Drosophila melanogaster: one gene and its partner. Changing the gene in region 2 together with the main gene of any one other region gives a genetic interaction. Each region holds a gene or a part of one and is shown on either strand. Other genes may lie near its edges.

Region 1 (4,992 bases), on a different chromosome or scaffold from region 2:
CCTTGTCATCCGTTACAGACCGCCCTTTGGCCCCAAGCCACCCCCCCCCCTTTTACTTCCACCCATATTTTACCCATATTTTCCCGTGCTTCCCCCGACTTTTCCCACCTCCCAACTTGTTGGACTTTTGTAACGGTTCTGGCACTGGCTGTTCATCAGGCTGCAGTCGCAGCAGTTCGGCTTACACACAATTTACAAAATAACCTCAATCCACCCACTCAATCTCGCATTCCCGCGCCCCGCTGGAAAACTGCGTCCCTGCCTCGCAGGGGCCCTTCACTCAGTCACTCAGTCAGCCGACTGGGAGAGTGTGTAAATTGTCTTGTGTAAATATGCAAATTTTTCTTATTTTCATACCCTGAAAGGGAGTCGCACTGCTGCAACAAGAACTTTACAAGCCTCTCAGGAAAATGCAGCCGCACTAGTACTGTTTTATGAAGTAAAACTAGTAACTTTGGTAAGCACTTTTTTGTAAGTGCTATTCAGAATATGCTCAACTGTATAGGAGTTGTATTAAACAAATGCGACTTTAAAAATATTTAAAGAGTTTATTCAGCATTTCCTTCAAGCAATTTTTTTCTACGAAGGAAATCCTTTGAGATGTATCTATTTATCTAATGAAATTTAAAATATAATTTTGCCAAATCATTATAAAAATTAATATATATACTCCCGATTTTTTCCTAATCCATTTAGTTTACAAGCTCTAACTTGATTTTCTGTTTCATAATAAGATTAACTGAAATATTATATACTCTTGCATCGTTTGAGTTCACATTTTTTAATTTAAAGTTGATATGGTCTGCTTTTTACTTTATTTTAACTCATATAATAAGAGTAACTTTCTTAAATCATCCTAATTTCTACCGAAATAGATTCCCATCTATTTTTAGGCACTTTTCGTGCAAGGGTATTAAGCGTATCGACTTCCTGGGGTGTATCCTGTCAATCCTGTTTTTATTGTCAACGTTGTTGTTATTGTCTGGAGTGTGGATAGGGATCGGGGGCGCTGTGGGCGGGGCGCTGGCAGTTCGTGTAAACAAACCAAGGCGTCGGATTAAAAAGTTTTGCATTACAAAGAGTTTTCGGTGGACGGACGATGGGGACGGAAGCTTGGGAAAATGTTTTGATTATTTAACTGCAAGTTACGATAAAACTAATTGCAATTACAAGCGGACTCTTTCCCTTTATGGCCCCTAATGAAATTGGCAATGCCAAGGCTGACGATTCAGCACAACTCAAATCAAACTCGGACGCAAACTTCGCACTGCAATTTTATTGGCCCGGTTCAATTTGAATGGTTTGCTTTCTTTGTTGGCCTCTGCATAAATTTTCCTCGGGCAATATTGATTTCCATTACAAATCCAATATTAAACTATGCCCCTGAGAGCGATTACTCGATTCCTACCGTTTTGCTTACTTACTTAAACCTTTTGTAACTCAACGAAATTGAGGACATGGCCAGGACACGGCCAGGATGCACCCGGCCCACAGATTTGTAGTTATTACAAAGGATCATTAAGAGCGTAGATATATTTTCCCTTTAGACTTGTCATTTAATCTCTGGAAATATTTACTACACATTCCTACCTCATAATTTGTCAAAATATTTTTGGGTGCCTTTAAAAACCAAATTTATGTTGGCCGGGGGAGATGTAAGAGTACTCAAATATATTATTGAATATAAATTGGTAACACGGATTAGCCAGTTTGCAATTGGCCTTGGTCTGCTGAACTTCTGAATAAACTGAATCAAATGCAGATGAAGTAAACTGATATTTGCTAATAAAATATAAGAAACTGAAATTTGAATTGTGCTCAGCCAACTTTAGGTTTTGTTGTAATTTAATTTGCTAGTTAAAAGTTTTCGAAGATTTTGTTGTTATAACTGAACCGAATGTTTCTTAGCAGTATAGTATTCTTGCAAAACACCTCAATGTGGTTTAGAAAAATAATTTATTGTAATTTAATTTAGGTATATCTTAATTCTGTCAGTAGATTCTATGATTTAATTTTCTAAAAATTCTTTGTAATTATTAAAGGTAAATAAGGACCATATATTTGTCTGACCTGTTATTAATTATTTTATACATCTGTACTGATGTGAATGGATGAATATTTTTTAAATGTGTTAACGTAGTGAATTTTCTTGCAGTACCATAGATATTAACTGCTTGGATACTCACTCAAATATTTTAATATATTTATTTTATATTAAAACTTGGAAACCCCAACGTTTTCGAACCTATCTAACATTTTTAAATATAAAACCTAATTGATAAACACGTACTTCATAATAGATAGCACATAGTGAGAATGCACTTTAAATATTTTTAGAACCCACATTATAAAATTTTCAAAAGACTTAGTTAAAATAAATATTTATACAAAGAAAATGAGCAAACAAATGTTTTTTTTTTAATATTGGTTTTGTACCTGTGCCCTTAACGTATTCCACAAAACCACTTAATACAATTTGAACAACATAAAATCTGCTCTCAGAAGAGCATATCACCTGCACTTTAAGTAACTTTACATAGGAATACCTGGCTCTTGTTGGCCGGGAACACAGACTCACCTGCTTTTATTTGACCTTATGCGGCTGCAACTTGTTGACTTTAATGAAAATGCACTCAGCAGAGGCTGACTGGCACACACAAAACGCTGGCACAACAAGTTAATATGTATTAGCTAGTCGCTAGTATGTCTGTAGTATCTTGGCTTAAAACGGCACTCGGTGAGACACCAACAGAAAAAAAAAGGACAAACAAAATCGGGCGGCACTCGCACACTCAAACGTACGCACACAGTTGCAAAACAAGTCAAGCGCGAAAGGACCGACTAAAACATGGCTAACATGTTTGGCTAATTGGCGTTTCTAGCGCCGATTTTTACAGCGCTCTAGCATTTATGTAAGCGGAATGTAAAACGCTTTACAGGACTTCAAAGTCTGGATTGGATTGGATTTGAATTGGAATGTTGTGGCAGGTCGTTCGGTATGTCGGCTGCTGATTTCCTTCGAAGGGATTGTGTGAGCTGTGCGTCCTTGCTGAAGGAGCCGCCGCGTCCAACTGACTGCTGCTGGATGTGCAAGCTGCGATTGTTGCAACGACTCTGCTGTCGCAGCACCAACGAAACGCAGCAGCAGCAGGCGCAGCACGGCGACAGCAGCAGCGTCAAAGGCAAAAGCAGCAGCAACACATAAACGCAGTACATGGTGGGTTCGGTGGAATACATATACATGCTCGTTGCTGCCGAAGTCCTTGCAGTCGAAGGGTTGTGTAGTTGCACTTGTAGTTGCTCGTGTTGCAACACACACAGCAGCAGCAGCAGCAGCAGCAACAGCAGCAACACGACATCAACTTCGGCCCACATTGTGCAATTGGCTTAGTTCCCAGTCAACAACTGGCCGCCTTTACAGTGCCCGTTTACAGCGAAGAGAAATGCTCTCGATATCCTTGGCTGCTTTCTCTCCGAGGATTTTCTCGAACAGCTGTTCGCGCTTGCCGGCTCTTATCAGTGAAATGGTAACAGCTCCTGTTAGCGTGCAAATGCACTTTTCTTTTCTTGGCTTTCCGCAGTGGCATTTCTTTTCGTTTCCTTCCTCTTCCTTGCCTTACTTTCATTTCCGTTCCTTTCGGTGGGGTTTGATTTATTATGTAAAAGTACAAGGACACTGCCACATACAGTGGGTACTCAATTAACTAGCTTTAGAAAACGAAAATATATATATTTTTAAAAAGGCAATGTTTACTTTAAGTAAATATTAATTGAATATAATATGATTTCAATACGAATAGCAAACATAAGTAGGCAACTTAACGTTAATAATTGATGAGTAGGGAAAACTAACAAACAATTTATCAAAAATGTATTAAATATATGCTTTCGCTACGATCCCGATTACAGGGTGTACACTGTACCTGCGGAGCTGCGTGTGCGTGCCAAGTGTTGGACAAACAAGCTGAGCACTAAAGCCGGAATACATTTGAGACTCTTGCAATCGACTTAATACGCCGCTAGAAGGGGGCACGATACGGCCTCATTGCCCCTACGGGAATGACAACCAATATGAAAATGGATTACCACAAAATGCAAATTGCGAAATGGCCAATTGATACCAGCGTCTAGCCACCTAATCGTCCGATTAAACCACCTTAAAATCGCAAAGCAGCCAGGCATTAATTACACGAAGTAAATACACCGACTCGGTTTACTCGGCAATGATAAAATCTATTATTAGAGAGGCCGAGTGGAAAGTTTTCCACCAACCAAGCCAACCAACGTTTGCTGTTGCCAACCGGCGTTGTTAGCAGAGCGCTGCTAAAGGACCTCTGTTAACTGGGCCGGCACGTGTTTCTCTCTCGCACGCACACAGCGAAGCGGATTTTTTGATTCTGTTTTGATTAATAGCTTCGTTGCAAGCTTATCAAGCGCCCACACACACACACACACACACACACACAAGCGCGCGGCCAGGAAGTGCAACAATGTCACGTGGCCGGCATTTGCCGAAGTCTCCTCTCGCCAGGACTCGCGCTCGCTCTCATTTCGAGTTGCCCCCATTTTCTCTCTCTGTAAGGCCTGCGCTGTTTACAGCAGTTAACTTTTTTCCAACGCCCTGCAATCGAACATGTTGCAACTATCCGTCTCTTTTGCGCATTTCCCCAGCCCATCGCAACAACAACAATAAACGAAAATAAACAAAAACAAATATAGCACGAGCAGCAAAAAATCGAGTATTACATAAGTCGGTGCTCCACCTACGCGAATTGGAATATAGTGCTGGCCCTATGTGACTGTCCTATATGAAAGATCGGGTATTTTGGTCGGTTCCTCGCTTTTGGCGAATGAAAACTGCGAAAATGCATTGTTCGTTTTAATTGCCAAGGAGCCGGACTTAACTGCCACCCAATGTGGCATGCATTTCGGGGGCTAAACGACAGACGAGGGGAATCACCGATTTGAAATTAGCCAGCAATGAAGCGTAAT
Region 2 (8,216 bases):
GGTCTTCAAAATCTTTGCTCGGCGATGCGGTCAATGTTACGATCGACCCTCGCGCGGTACGCCTTAAACGCCCAACTCTCGGCTGGGCGTGGTCGTGGCCATCTGTCCAGTATTACTCCCGGCCGGCGGCGGGGTCACTAAACTGGGCAGCAACTTGTTCAGCAGCGTGCGAATGGCAAAGGTGACATCGTGATTGGCGAAGCAGAACAGGAAGGAGACCACAAAGCCCTGCAGGCTGACCAACACCACCGATAGCATCTGATAGAAGTGGTCCAGCTGGGTGCCGGCATCCGGACGGTAGGGCAGCAGGAAGTGTTGCAGTCCGAACAGCGGTACCAGAATAATGGTGGCCCGAACCGCCTTCCGGATGGCCAACGGTGCCGGCTGGGCGGACTGGGGATGTAACTTTCGCACGATCACTCGCAGTACGTTGATCAGAAAAACTGTTGGGTAAAATGCATATAGCTGAGCAATATTGTACTTTTAAAGAAAATTATGCATATTACTAAAGCTGGCCAGCAGCGAAAGAGTTATGGGCACCGAGAAGATCCACAAGTAGAGACTGTCAGTTATCCAGCAGCTGCAATAATGTGAAAAGAAATGTTACCATGGATATAGCGTAGAATGTAATCTCTTAATAAATGCAATGCAAAAACCAAATCAATCAGGATTATGTCTTGTGTAAAATTGTGAAAATAACTTACTGCTTATTGTCCGGACTACTGAAATGCCTGGCCAGACCGTAGACGATGGCTATGGGTATGGGTGAAAACCAGCTGATGACAATAAACCAGCGCATCACAATCGTGTCCTTGACAAAGACCTGGCGAATGGAAAGAAGAAGGGGCGTCAGGATCTGAACGGACATTCCTGACATCTCAACTTGACGCAGACGTAAAGCAGTTGGCCAACGTTGCGATTTGCTCTCAGACAAATTGCTGGGGGTGAACCATTGCCATGTCAGCGGCTGCAGGAAATCACATCTGCCATGCACAGAAGTCGCCCATAAAGAATGCAGACTTGTGCAGGCAATTGCCAGATTGCCAGACGAGTAAGGATAACTCACCACAACGAGCACCAGGTGCAGGTGCAGGCCCTCGCAAAACATCCAGAAATAGTTGACCAACATAAAGTAGTGCACCACCAGATGCAGCCCAATGCACCACAGCTGAAAGTTAGTTATGTTTATGGTTTTGTATAATTGCCTAGCTACTTGTAGGGCTATGTTATTTTCATAGTTACTTTTCTCAGTGCATCTTACCGGATTTTCGGCTATGGTTTCGGAACGCTCCACCACCAGACGATACCATAATATCCAGGCCACACAGGTGCAGGCCAGCGAGGCGAACAGATGTACATGGATGCGGATGCGGGTGCAGCGCAGGGATCTGCAAACGGAATGGAACGGAACGGAAAGAAACGAAAAGGGATATCCGGCCGTCAGTTACCGGAGGGAAAGGAACCGTGTGGGTCGTAGACAAACACTTACTTGAAGCCCAAGAAAATAATAATCGATATGAGCAGGGCCAGCAGGGAGAGGGCATAACCCTTCACGTACAGCTCGTTGATGAACTGGCGAAACTGCAGTGGCAACTTTCTTGATTAATGCCCATGTACCACCCGCTTGATGCCGCCGAAGCACTTACCTCCAGGTCCTCATAGTCCACGCAGTTGGTGTAATTGGACCAGGTCTGATTGCTAACCGGATGACGGTACCAGGAGCCGTTCTCCAGGCAGCTATGAATGCGAAATGCTTACGATAATTGTGACTGGCTAAGTGCGGACTGATGGGTAAAGGGGGTATTTCTAACAAAGCGCCTGACAATGCACAAGTTACCCAACTTTACCAGGAGCCAGCTGAGCTCAGTTGGCGTGTAAAGTGAGATGAACGCTATCCATTAAATTGGAGATACATACATGTAGTGCAAGTTTTAGAGTGCTGCTACAGTACACTTAGGGAGATTATCTCTGCAAGAGTTGAAGAAGGTTTTATTTTTCTTTCATTTTCCATCATCTTTTTCTGAGATATGCTGCGAGTTTATGTAATAGACACGAATGTAAACTCTATAGGATTTTCCCTGTTTGTAGCGCACTCATACATAAACATTGTATTTTATGACACACAGAACACATTAAAGCAAATGCCGAATATGGCAAGATATTTTCGAATTTATGCTCAAACGAATATTACATATTGCAGAGCTTATTTGACCATGCGAAATCCTGAACGGAATGAAAATCTATCCTATTCGTGGTGGCGTAATATACAGGCATATTGGGCATTTAACTCACGTCTTGTGGGCCAGAAATTTTCTGTTGAATCCTTCGACGAAATCGGGACAATATTGACTCAGCACAGTGCCGGCCGGAGTCCTTGGCCAGCAGAGATATCCGTCAAAGTTCAGGGGGCAAAAGAGTCGGTTCTCCTTCTGATTTGTGGCCATCGTGGCACTGACGACGGTGGCCATCAGCTCCTCCTTCTCCGCCAGCTCCTCGTCCACGTTTCGCATGTCAATAACGCCCTCGTTCATCGCGGCATTCTCCAGATATCGCGGCACTGGGCTAAAGTTCTCCGGCAAATCGGAATCGTAGTCTGTGCACGGCGACAAGTGCCATTAAAATGGGTTTACTTTTTAATGTATAAAAATATAGCATTTTTAATAATAGTATCTATGGGCTGCATAACTGAAAGTGATGTAATTCAGTTTTCAAGTTCAATTCAATTGCATGCTTGCTTTACATATGTAAAATAAAGTGGTATTTCAAATGTACATAACTTGCTTAAGATAGTTAATAGATCATCGTTCTTTATAGCAGGGTATAATTCATAAATTCTGGTTGAAAATATATGTACATTTGGTAAAGGTGTTGAGTGCTATTTAAATTTATAAATTTGTCCTGAGATGCCAATGATTTGCATTGAAACGAAAACCCATGTTTAAATTTGCATCCCCAAGAAGTAAGTCAATGATTTTGTATATATTTAAATACATTACTTTGAAATGCATTAAATGAAATCAGATGGGCTGTAATTTAATTTAATTCTCTTCTCTTTCTTATCTGTCTTATGCCTCTGCTATTTTTTCGCGGCAAATCACGTATACGCCTGTTGGCCGCCACTCACCTGTTGCTGGGCCAAGTGAAAATGATGGGTCGTCCGTATCGTATGTGACATTCTGGTATCGGAACACGCACTCCGCATACAAATGCTTTAAAAATATGCGCAGATTATCCTGCGTTTGGGCCTGCGATGCCACATCCACATTTTGCGACTCCGAATCTGAAGAGGTTGTCGCCATTGTGGGTTATTCAACGTGACTAACTCTTGTCAACGGCTAATGCACTAAAAAAAAATATAATAATATAAATATAATTCAAAGAATTACGGGATAAATAGGATAATCAACTGCAATAATTTATCAGAGGCAATTTGAAAGGTTTTAAACAAGTGTTGCTTACCCATAGAAACTTGTATGAGCTAGTTTTTAAAATTTATTCTGATTTAAATATATTTTCTTATATTTAACATTAGTTCTCACTGTATTTCGCCATAGCGAAGCGAACTTGAGTCCCTTGTGGCCGTCCATTCGTGTGTGCATTTCTAATTTGGTTAGGCTTCAAAGAGTTGCCTGAGTTGGGTTGATATTTGTTGTGGGGTCCTGTCTGCGGGGAAATGGTGCCAAAGGAAATGGAATATCCACACGGGGCACACACACACACTCAAAATATCGAAGCACCTGAGTGTCGTGTGAGCCGAGTCACCTACTCGTCTCTCATATGTTGTAAATCAGTTTATTGTCTAATTAATGGCGGTGCTTAACTGTGTCGCTATTTCTGCTACCGTGGTTGGGCGAACTTAATTGCATTTCGTCGCACAGAGAGACAAAGCAAATGCCACGGGTTAAAAACTCAAATGAAATGCACTTTGATCGTGGGGGCACACAAACACACAAACACATAAACACACTCACACACCCGCACCGAACACGTGGCCCAAAAGGCGGGATGAGCTGCAAAGTTCTTGCCTAACTTGGTTATATTTTTAATCAAAACTCATTTCACTTGATTGAGTTTCGACAGAAGCCTGCACCAGGCACTGGAAAATCTAGCATGCACGATACATACAAAGTAAGATGATTTTCCCGCTCCCAAGCTAAACTTTAATTTGCGGCATTAATTTATTACACCGAACTGGGACAGTTTCCCATGATGGATATGACGCCTGGCTAAACATTCTTGCATGTTATATATATTTTTGCAAGTGTCTCGGCCAGGCAATTAGCCGCAGGTAAGCGGAGCATGACGATGGAAGGACCAAGGACTAGAGCGCCCTTTGTTGGCCATCAATTCAAATGGCTGTCTTGAAGCACTAATGAGCATTAATTGCATTCACATTCCCCCTCCTTTGAATTAAATCCATTGCAGAATTCCCGCTTTATCATTTGCTATGAGGCAAATTACACTTTAAGTGGCACTACGCTTATTCAACAGATTCCATTTCTCACGCTAGTTAAATGCGTATAAAGAAATACCGACTACAAATATGTTTTTACTAAAACAATTATGGCTCATCTAATAGCACAAAAAGTTAAGTATATTTTTTTTAGAATATTTCGCAATTACTTTTCGCTGTTAGTTAAAGAAGCATTTTGCAAGCAAGCTGCTCTCAGCAATAGTGAGAAAATGTAGCACTGACTAAACTAGACAACATTTTTACTTTTACTACTTTTTTACTTTTACTACAGCCAGTTCTAAACAATTTTAAATTAGATAAACTACTTTGCCCAACTATAAAATTTCCCTTGCCGTTTTGTTTTAACGACTACTGACTTGGCGAAAAAAAAAGTATGCAGGGAAATTACAAGAAAATCTGAAGCGCGCTGTGTGGCCAAGATTTTGCTCCACAAAACTAAGGAAATGCTTCAAGGAATACGCAAGCATCTGCAACATTTTTGGCAAATTGTTTTGTTTTGCATAGTTTTTGATGCTGAATACTTGGGGAGGAATAGCAGCCATAGGAATGGGGGAGCACTCATTTTGGAGCATTCATAAAACACAAATAATTTGAAAACGTTTGCTTGCATAAATTATGCACGATATTGAAATTTATTGTCAACAATGGGTGGCGAAAGAGAAAGGACTTATTTTTCTTTTGTTTTTTTGGCGACAGGACCGCCCGCTGCAAAAGATACAAATGGCCAATCAATAGGGGTGGGAGCAAAAAGCTGCCAGAGGAATAATTATATGTACACATGCTGAATATTGATGATGAATTGTTTTGTCTAGCAGCCTAGCACAAAAAAAAATAAAGAGAAATAAAATTAATAGAGGCGGTGGGAAAAGCCGTCAATGCGGTTAATGATGCTAGCGCCATTTGCAGGCCGGAAACGGAAATGCCACGCAAACCGACTAGCACACAAACACACACACACACACACACATAAACCAGGACACGCACTCGAAATGAAAGCGGACATGCGAAATAATGCCACATTATTCGGCCATTCTTGGCGGATCAATTATAATAACAAATTACTTCATCCACATCGCCTGGGTCACCAAATGCAATTACGCACGCCGGACTGGCCACGAATCATCATCCGGAATTCCAATCCCCCGGACGGATCTACTGGGCATAAAAGTTGCCAACCTTGCGAATTATAACACTCATTTCCTTATTTCCTGCCAATCACTGCCGTATTTTCCCTGTGTAGCGCAAAAACTTTTCGCATAAAACAACCGCAAATAGGATGGGGCTTGAAATCGAATTATTTATTTGTACTGTGTACGCAAATATTTAATTCGATTGTTTACTTAATTAAATGCTCGAAAATGAAGTCTCATGCGGCGCAGTAATTATGCTAATTATTTACTGAAATATTTTTTGTTCAAATATGTTTCAAAATTATATTCACCTGATATTCGCATAAAAGGTGTCGAGAATTTACGCAAAAACAGGTGCCAACAGATCACTTACATGGGGCCCCACAGTCAATTGAATTCATTCAATTGTTTGCCACTGCCATTCATTGAAAACTTAAACAATTGATTCGGTTTCAGTTCACCGCTCGTCACGTACAGCAACAGCACACAAAAACACAAAAAAAAAAAAATATATATTAGAAACACGGACAAAAAATGCGCTTTATGTTATCGGTATTCAAAATTGGCTGCTCCACTCCGATTTTCGCACCGCTCTGCTCCGCGTGCCGCTGGCAAATGGTACGGCATCCGGCAAAAACCGCCTGCCGATGTGGCTGGCAGTTTCCTCATATTTTCCCCATTTTCCCCATTTTCACGCCCATACACCATACTGGCACACTGAAGGAAATGTACGAAAAAAGAGAAAGTGAGAAAGTGGGTATTTGCATTAAAAAATATATATTTAAACTACAAATGTCAAAAGTATCTTCATCTTAATTTAAGTTCTAGCACACTTCTTCTAATAATATTTGGCATTAAAAGTGAGAATACATTATCGATTTTATTTGAATAGTGTAGAACTTATACTTTCTTTCAGTGTACGAGTACTGCTTTGCCGAACACTGCTTGCCAGCAACAAGTTGTCGGCGCACTGCTTCTATGCCTTTGTGAATTGCTTGTCGTGGGCGTGTATAACAGTTTTCTAGGTGGGCGTGGCGCACACAGCTGGGACCCACAAATTCCTAAGGACTTCGAATTTTGTTAAAGAAATTTATTTAACCCAACTGGGTCTATCCAATTAAAAATATATATTTATTGGCTTACTTTAATCGTGTTTTTATAAGGATAGAAGTAATAATAATATTTTAATATAATATTTTATTAATTTAATAAAATAATTAAAAAATCTATAGAAACCAATAAATTTAATTTTTAACTCGTTTATCATCAATACAATCTGTATATAATAAAACGACCTGATAGCAATTCTTTAGCAATAACAATTGGGCAAACAAAGGGTTAAGACTTCTCAAGTACAAGGATACTGGTGTTTGTTTCACTTTGAAACTGCAGTTAAAAGCATTTGATGCGATTGCAATGCAACTTTATTATTATCATGCAGTAACCTTTAAGATTCAACTTTAGTGAATACTTCGTTTCAGTTCACTTCAATTCTCGATTCATGTAAAATACCTCAGCAAACTTTCATAAAATTTATTCCTGAATAGCTGATGATGTCCTGCATAGCAAGCGTGTATAAATATTTTATGCGGTTATCTGACGTTTCTTTAGACAAAATTGACATCGACTTAGGATTGATAAAGAATTCTTTACAAAATGTAAGAGAATTTCATATAAAATGTATTTCACAATTAGCAGCACACAGTGTGGTGTGAAAATTTCTGGCTTCTCAGCTCGTAAAATGGCATGCCGCCCATAAAAGTGAATTTAAGGCAAATCGCCTTTGCAATATAATTTTCTGCACATGTCCGCAAATATATGTAAGTGCACTTTACTTTTATGAATGGTCAGGAGCAAGAACGAGATTGGGTACAAGTTTACACCTTTTAATTGTTTGCTTATAACATAGTATTACTTGGTTACCTGGCTTGTACTTAAAGTTGAATCACTGTAATTGTATAAGCCAAGATTGATTAAACTTCGGCTAAACTAAGGTAACATTTGGACCTTTGTGATTAATAAGCATTGTATTAATACAAGCATGACGACATTTTTTTATGCCACTCTCTTCAAAAGAAGAGTGCAAGATTAGTTAGGTCAGGTTCTATCGACATTAATCCAGTTAGCCACGTTAAGAACAATCTGGCGCCAGTTGAGCGAGCTTAAAGTGCTAGTTGGAGAGTTTAAACAGCGGCAAAGACAACGATTTTTTTGTTAGGTAATACCATATTACTATGGCATAGTGTCACCGCACTTCGGTCGCACGTTCCGTAGTGATAAAAGCCGGGGAGACGGGGTTTTAAACATAAAAAAAAATGCTCGAGAGTGATGTAAAGACCGTAATCACATGCACGTTCCAGACCCCATTTCTCAGTCGTGTCGCTGACCCATAAAAGCGGGGATCTACATGGTCAGCGACATCAGTTCCATCGGCAACATGTTCCATCCAAGGTCTCAGTCCAGCTCCTTAGCTCTACTCCTGACATTCGTCCTGGCTTTCGTCGGCGTTAAGGGGGACTACGATTGGTATAGTGATTATTCGGGCTCTGAACTTGACTACATCTTTGCGGATGTCAACTACGATGCAGTGTGCCCACCAGGTGGTTATGCTG

What was found.
Region 1: of hec (region 2) and fru, changing one enhances a phenotype caused by changing the other (phenotypic enhancement), as found in Drosophila melanogaster (one study listed by BioGRID).

The regions. Positions count from the first base shown.
Region 1 is NT_033777.3:18,542,535-18,547,526, forward strand, and holds the start of fru (fruitless), read right to left. Parts: upstream 3,053-4,992; 5' UTR 2,579-3,052; intron 1-2,578. UniProt on the Drosophila melanogaster protein: Probably acts as a transcriptional regulator.
Region 2 is NC_004354.4:12,951,241-12,959,456, forward strand, and holds the start of hec (hector), read right to left. Parts: upstream 6,223-8,216; 5' UTR 5,978-6,222; intron 3,344-5,977; 5' UTR 3,300-3,343; coding exon 3,125-3,299; intron 2,594-3,124; coding exon 2,293-2,593; intron 1,738-2,292; coding exon 1,647-1,737; intron 1,582-1,646; coding exon 1,490-1,581; intron 1,389-1,489; coding exon 1,262-1,388; intron 1,169-1,261; coding exon 1,067-1,168; intron 824-1,066; coding exon 705-823; intron 581-704; coding exon 507-580; intron 444-506; coding exon 64-443; 3' UTR 1-63. Other genes in the region: CG32642 (uncharacterized protein), read left to right, coding at 8,042-8,216.